2 linked regions of the Callithrix jacchus genome follow. Each later gene encodes a partner of the first gene's protein in a complex. Links are inferred from orthologs where the notes say so. Each region holds a gene or a part of one and is shown in the gene's direction. Other genes may lie near its edges. The genes, in order: GTF2E2 and POLR2C.

The links.
Region 2: GTF2E2 (region 1) and POLR2C share a complex: the UniProt entries of both Homo sapiens proteins name them as parts of the TBP-based Pol II pre-initiation complex. The link is inferred for Callithrix jacchus from reciprocal best matches to the Homo sapiens genes GTF2E2 and POLR2C.

Annotation. Positions count from the first base shown.
Region 1 is NC_133514.1:31,805,972-31,810,500, reverse strand, and holds the start of GTF2E2 (transcription initiation factor IIE subunit beta), read left to right. Parts: upstream 1-1,664; 5' UTR 1,665-1,874; intron 1,875-1,939; exon of another isoform or gene 1,940-2,568; intron 2,569-3,223; exon of another isoform or gene 3,224-3,243; intron 3,244-4,529. UniProt on the Homo sapiens protein: Recruits TFIIH to the initiation complex and stimulates the RNA polymerase II C-terminal domain kinase and DNA-dependent ATPase activities of TFIIH. Both TFIIH and TFIIE are required for promoter clearance by RNA polymerase.
Region 2 is NC_133521.1:15,346,304-15,349,362, forward strand, and holds part of POLR2C (DNA-directed RNA polymerase II subunit RPB3), read left to right. Parts: intron 1-2,110; coding exon 2,111-2,239; intron 2,240-2,964; coding exon 2,965-3,016; intron 3,017-3,059. UniProt on the Homo sapiens protein: Core component of RNA polymerase II (Pol II), a DNA-dependent RNA polymerase which synthesizes mRNA precursors and many functional non-coding RNAs using the four ribonucleoside triphosphates as substrates.

The DNA of each region.
Region 1 (4,529 bases):
AGTTTCTTACTCATTAATAACGGAGCCAGCAGAATCACAAAACTGATTTCTACCAGTTCTGAAAAATGAAATTTATATAATCGTCGGGGAAAGGAATGCTGAAATAAGACTGCTCAGTTGATACAAAAATGGTTTAATTTTTCTCAGAACAATGCAACCTTAATCCTTGGGATTTTTTTTTTTTAATACATACTGAATTCCCTGCCCCTTTCTCCCCTTACTCCTCATCAGTTTCCTACTAGTTCTTTGATTTTATCCTTTTGTAAATATTCTCGGCCCTAATCAATTGTGATTCAAACAAAGTTACATTTTCTGTGCATGTCAGATGATCATCAAGTAGGCTTATTACAAAATTCTCTAGAATGAAACTAATCAAAAAGATCACAAAATATTGTCTTTCAACTTTTTTCTCCAAGTTTTGAATAAAATTTTAGGTATTTTCTCATTTAATTTTCACCACAGTCCAGTGCAAGTAACTCATTGTAGTAGTACAATGATTATCCCCATTTCCCAGATGAGAAACCAAGCCACAGGTTCAGTAACTTGAGGAGTAATCAGTAACAAGTAATTAAATTAGAGCCATAGAATGGCTGAGAGCTGGCTGTACTACCACTTTAGGTTACAAGACTGAGGGAAGTTCTCCACGCTGCAGGGTTCGGGCAACGACAATTATTTTTCCAATTGCTTTATTTTCACCCATTCATCGTGCTTCTGAATCCAAAATCCTTTCCTAAGACAGTTCACAAGGGCGGAGCCTGGGCTGGGCTCCACATCAGGCTGCCTTTGCTAGTTATGCTGTCTTGAGAAAGTTGTTTATTAATTAGCTTTCTGGGCCTCTGTTCTTCGCTGTAAAAGGGCTGGAACCGCCTTCTCGGAGGGCAGGTGACGGTGGGTGGCACTGGGGTAGTCACAAAATAACCGTTGAGGCCGGGCGGGATGGCTCACGCCTGTAATCCCAGCACTTTGGGAGGACGAAGCAGGCAGATCACTTGAACTCAGGAGTTTGAGACCAGCCTGGGCAACATTGTGAGACACTATTAATACAAACAATAACAACAATAACAAATATTGCCCGTCCTTGTGGCACTCGCCTTTGATCCCAGCTACTCTGGGGGCTGAGGTGGGAAAATGCCTTGAGCCCGGGAGGCGGAGGATCATCACAAACCAAGTCTCCAAAAGGTAGCAAAAGAGAGGGAAAGTAGAAAGGTTGAAAGAGGTTAAATGGTGGCAGGAATCGTGGGCTTGGAGCCCCAGTGAGCCGAGACAGCGCCACTGCACTCCAGCCTGGGCGATCGAGTGAGATCCTGTCACTAGTAAGAAAAAGACAAAGAAATCAAAATAATCCTTGAAAGACAAGAGTCGCCGATTGGGTTCACCACAACCCAGCGCACTCCGGGGCAGGCTGTAGCAGCTTTAATTAAGCGTCCGTAAAGAAAGCCCCCTTTCCTCATCCCTGGCACCGCCTCCCATCTCAGTCCCCTCCTCGGCCCCGCCCCCAGCATTCCCTCGTTGTCATGGAGCCCACAGGACGCCCGAGCGGGCTACTTCTGCTCCCGCGGCACCCAAGACAGGGCACGCAATGACGCATGCGCGCGCTCGGCGGCCATGGCGCCGCGGTGGCTGCTGGGACTGAGCTCTTAGCACCCGATCGGGAAGTGGCGGGCGGAGTCCCGGGTCGAGTCGCCGCCTCAGCAACCACCGCCGCTGCAAGTGGCGAGACCCCGACCTGGCGGGTCCCCGCTGGGGGAGCGTGCGGGCAGGCGGGGGCGCTGACGAGGAACAGGAAGAGGCTGCCGTGCCGGCGTGGGCGGCTGGCCGAGGCGTAGGCGGAGGGAGGCGGTGGCGAGTCGCGCGGGGCTGCCCTAATCACTCAGGTAGGGGCTGCGGCCGCCGGGTGAGGGGAGCGGAGCCCCGGCCTGCTGTTCCCCGGGACCCAGGCGCGTCGCCGCTTCCCGGGGGGCCGAGCGTGACCTACACCCCACGGGAAGCTGGGGCCGCCGTTCTCGACGCGAAACACCCAACACGCGAACGGTTCCCCCAGCATTGTCTTTAGGCCGGAGGTTCATTGAGCAAACTTTTGGATTGGGAAGAGGGAAAATTCGCGGTCTGCTGACTGTGCCTTCAAGCCTCCAAGTTCACGGGCGCGGTAGCCAAGCGAACCGCGTGTGGAGTTTCGGGAGCCACGGTGTTCCAGCCAGCTCAAGGCTGTGATTTAGATTCTCATACGCGAACTGGTTTCTAGGCTACCTTTTGGAGAGTTGGTTTGTGATGATTCCTAAACTTTAACGGTAGTAATTGACTTCTGCAGTCTAAAGATGTTTTCCACACAATAAGGCTGCGGCCCCCTTTTCGCCCACCTCCCAACTGCTGTCATTTAAAGGCGAAGCAGCCCGATGTTCATAGCCGGGTGCTGAGGTGCCCTGGACACTTCTGAGGCTTGGAAAGAAGCAAAAGAGAGGGAAAGTAGAAAGGTTGAAAGAGGTCGAATGGTGGCAAGAGTCGTGGGCTTGGAACCATCAGCTTTTCGTTTAATTTATGGGTTTTCCATATCTACCCACGGAGAAACCGGTGAACATTTTGAGTTGTGGTGGTAGTTTGTTTTGTTTTAATGTAAAATGGACATAGTGATGTAGCTTGTTTACTACACAGGTGGGTCCTGAGATCTTAAACTTAGTACAAATATTGAGTAGTCTTTGAAAAAGGAGGAGAAGTTAGAGCATGTGATGGTGAAAGACATCGCGAAGCCTTCTGCTCTAGGTGCCTTTGAATGTTCCAGAACCTCGTAGGTCGCCTTTGTTTTAAAGGCCTTTACCAGCGTTCCAGGTCTGGTGTAAGGAGCATTCGACTTAAGAGTCAGGAGGTTTGGGTTCTGACCCTGGTTCTTCCATCGGTGCGACCTTTAATCAGACAGCTTCACTTTCACATTTCACGTATTAAAATAGGAATAACACTAACAACTTTTCGCTCCGAGAGTTGCAAGGGTCAAATATTGTAAGCATTTAGTTTGCTGTAAACTGTACGGGTTTATTTAAGTCTTCTAAGGTCATTTTTTAAAAGTCTGGATTAAGGTCCTGCCTTAATCAAAGGTGAAATTGGATTAAGGTGAAATAAAACACAGATTTTTTTTGTTTTAGGAATTTACAATCTGCTTGTTGCCCCCACCTTCTCAATTGATAATTCTCCTTTCTTCTTGTCCTCACGTTTTCCCTCCTCCCAAGGCTGTCTCCTATCTTCCTCAGCCCGGTAAATCATTCTCTTATTTTTTTTCAGATCCAACTCAAAATAGTAATACTAAAATAACATGTTTTTATGACTTTACTATTTAAAAAATAACGTACACATTTTCTCATTCTTAAAATTGGGTTGGATCGTGGACAGCGTTGGCAGCGTCTTCATTTTACTTGTGAAATTGAGTGTAGTGGCCTTGTGGGTTGCCTAGCCATGTGGCTCTTAGGAATTGAAATGAGGCAGGCCGTGGTGGCTCTGCCTGTAATCCTAGCACTTTGGGAGGCTGAGGTGGGTGGATCACTTGAGGTCAGCAGTTCAAGACCAGCCTGGCTAATGTGGTGAATGAGCCCCTCTCTACTAAAAATACAGAAATTAGCCAGGTATGGTGGTGCACACCTGTAGTTCAGCATCTCGGGAGGCTGAGGCAGGCAGGAGAATCGCTTGAGCCCAGGAAGCGGAGATTTCAGTGAGCTGAGATCACACCACTGCGCTCCCACCTGGGCAGCAGAGAGAGACTGTTTCAAAAAAAAAAAAAAAATTGAAATATTTATTTTTCCATGCACACTTCAGAATCATTTACAAACAAAAACTTTGTTTAAATTTTGAAAATATGTTAAATGTATGCTCCATATATTAAAATAATAACTCAAAAAAACTGAGAGAAGGCAGGTTTTTGATTCACCATCCAGTGATTCTTCACGCCTTAACTGAAATTCACTCTGATTATTCCTTACTAATGCTTATATTTTAAGTTTTTAGCTCAAGGCTTTCATTTTCTCAAATCTAAGCAGCATGCAGACTAGGATTTATCCTCCATAACCTTTCAAAGCTTAGAGCACATGCCTTGCAAACAGAAGACACTTAATAAAGGCGTGTGTAACCAGTAATCATGGGACCAGAGCAATTAAAAGATCTTGTTCCATGTGTTGTTCATTTAACAAATATTTATTGAGCTATCCTGTGCTTAAAAGCTTTCAAAGTTTGAGTCTTTTTCCTCCCAGCTGACACTAGTCTTAACAGTGTCAAATTCATTTATATAGTCAGCTTGAGGTCTTCCTAGACCCTCTGCAGGGTACTAGCAGAGTTCAAAAGAAAGGAGTGTTTAGAATTCTTGTTGGTTGACCTGTAGCTTCCTTGATTGTACTGAAATTGCTTAGGGTTGTAGTTTTAGAACCGGACAAACAGCCACAATATAGAAGTTGTTTCAGACCACCTCCAGATTGGAAATTTTCTATAGACATTTTTTTTTTTTCCCCTTCTTGAGACAGGGTTTTGCTGTGTCATCCAGGCTGGAGTGCAGT
Region 2 (3,059 bases), on another chromosome or scaffold:
TATGCATGAGGCCAGGCACATTGGCTCACACCTGTAATCCCAGTATTTTGGGAGGCCAAGGCGGGCAGATCACTTGAGGTCAGAAGTTTGAGACCAACGTGGAACATGGTGAAACCCCATCTCTATTAAAAATGCAGAAATTAGCCAGGTATGGTGGCAGGCACCTATAATCCCAGCTCCTTGGAGGCTGAGGCAGAAGAATGGCTTGAACCCAGGAGGAAGAAGTGCAGTGAGCCAAGATCGCACCATTGCACTCCAGCCTGAGGGTCAAGAGCGAGACTTGTCATAATATATATATGTGCATGCTCTATCACCTAGCAGTTCCTTTCATTAAATTTTTTTCTAGTATTTATTGAACAAAGATGGCTTGGTATCTCTCTCTCTCTCTCTTTTTCTTTCTTTCTTTCCCTCTCTTTCTCTTTCCCCCCCTCCCTCCCTCTCTCTCTCTCTCTCTCTCTCTCTCTCTCTCTCTATATATATATATATATATATCTTTATCTCTCTCTGGCTTTTTCTGAAAATCTGTAGAAACGTTTTAAAACTAGAATAATAAGTACCCTTTTACTTTTCACCTATAGTTACCAGTTATTAATATTTTACATTTGCTTTATTTTTCATATGGTTGTTATTTTTGCTGAACTGTGTGAAAGTTGCAGAGACATCCTAACACTTCAGCATGCATTTCCTAATAAGAATAGTTTCCTACGTAACCACACTTTTATTATGCCTAAGAAAGTAAGCGTCAATTTGTAATATCAATATTCATATTTTCATAGTTCCCCAAATATTCTTTATTGTTTTCCTGTTTGTTTGTGGATCAGTCTTGATCAAGATTCATTTGGTCCTTATAGCTCTTTAGTCTCTTCATCTCAAACAGACTCTTCTCCTTTCAGTGCATTTTTTTAGGTTGAGTACCTTTTCATATTTTTAATCTTCCATTACATTTTGATTCTCTCATTTCATGTTTCTTTATTTTTCTATTTTTTGAGATAAGTCTCACTCTGTCACCCAGGCTGGAGTGCAGTGGCATGATCTCGGCTCACTGCAGCCTCATCTTCTGGGCTCAAGTGATTCTCCTGCCTCAGCCTCCCGAGTAGCTGGGACTACAGGTGCTGTGCACCACCATGCCTGGCTAATTTTCTTGTACTTTTTTGTAGAGACAGGGTCTCGCCATATTTCTCAGGCTGGTCTCGAATTCTTGGTCTCAAGTGATTCTCCCACCTCAGCCTTCCGAAGTGCTGGGATTACAAGTGTGAGCCACTGTGCCCAGCTCCATTTCATATTTCTAAGAGTAATTCTGCCTCTGGGGTCTGGGTTGCCTTCCTTCCTTACCTGTGTGTGACTGCAGACATCTCAGGTGGGACCTCTAGTTGCTTCTTCTTCCTTATCAGGCAAACATCAAAAGAATGTTGGGTTTTCCTCACTAGTGTGAGGGAGAAAACAGCTTGCTTGATTGCATCCTAGTAACTCTCTTCTTGCCTGAAGTTAAACTGCAGTTGGTAGTCCCTAACATGGGTATGAGCCAGTTGTTTTAAGAATGGCAAACTTACTAATTATGGAAGGTGGTTGATGGTTATGGGATGGCAGTGTCTTACATGCTTCTCTATTTTTGTATATGTATGAAGTTTTCCATAATAGAAAGGATTTTTTTAGAAAAGGTGAGTACTCTAGAACTTGAAAGGTACTTTTTTCTGTTCCTTGTTGGTTTTATTTTAAATGGTGGTTACATTCCCAAGCTGGTCCACTTAGTTCTTGGGAAGCTGAACTATAGAGTGTGGAAGCATCCTCCTCTCCCTCATAGCCTTGCTTCTCTGAGAAAGACTACTTCAAGGGCCAGAGTGAGATGTTAGCAGTGTGTCTGCAGAGGTGGCCTGGCAGCTGGTTCCAGTAGGAAGGAAATGTGGTGCTAGTGTATGTATAAGTTGTCTCTAAACTTGGGCAGTCCGTGAGAATGGTATACCAGATTGTTATAGCCCACAAGAACCTGGAGACTGATCAATCCCTTTTTACAGGTGAAGAAACTTAAAGAACTGGGTATTAGATGCAGGGAGCCAAGGCAGGAGTCGCCATCTCCCCCATAGACTCATTTCTGCTTCTCTTCCTGCCTCAGGACTGCACATGTGAGGAGTTCTGCCCTGAGTGCTCAGTGGAGTTCACCCTCGACGTGCGGTGCAATGAAGACCAGACTCGACATGTCACATCTCGAGACCTCATCTCCAACAGCCCCCGGGTTATTCCGGTCAGTGCAGGACAGCATCCTCTTTTCCCTTGGATCTTTTTTTGTTTGTTTGTTTGTTTGTTTGAGACGGAGTTTCACTCTAGTTGCCAATGGTGTGATCTTGGCTAACCGCAACCTCCACCTCCCGGGTTCAAGCACTTCTCCTGCCTTAGCCTCCCAAATAGCTGGGATTACAGGCATGTGCCACTAGCCCAGCTAATTTTGTATTTTTAGTAGAGATGGGGTTTCTCCATGTTGGTCAGGCTGGTCTCGAACTCCTGACCTCAGGGGATCCACCTGTTCAACCTCCCAAAGTGCTAGGATTATAGGCATGAGCCACTGTGCCTGGCTTCCCTGGGATCTTTTCTCTTTCTGGCTCCAAGTGGGCCAGACTGGGATTGATCCTTATAAAATGTTGACTTTCCCTGTTACCCTCTGCCTTAATCTGATCCCTAGAAGTTCTAATTCTGGATTCTTCTTGGGCATCGTTGCATCATTAGCATTGCTGGTGCTGTGCACCCTCTATTGCCCAGAGACTCTTTTGAAGGCCATGGAATTGTTTTGCCTGAGGCTATCACCACAACATGAAGTAGGGGTTGGAGTCCTCGGGGACATCTGTGCCACCGCCTTGTTAGGTGCCCCTTCCCTCATTGACAGATTACAGTCTAGAGGTTTTGGGAGTTGGATGCCAGAGGAAGTGACTGGGGAGGTGAGCAGCTAATGAATGCCTGTTGGCCTCCCTACAGGTGACATCCCGGAACCGAGATAATGACCCCAATGACTACGTGGAGCAGGATGGTAAGCCATGGAGTGAAAGTGCAGACATCTTCTTGACCTGTCA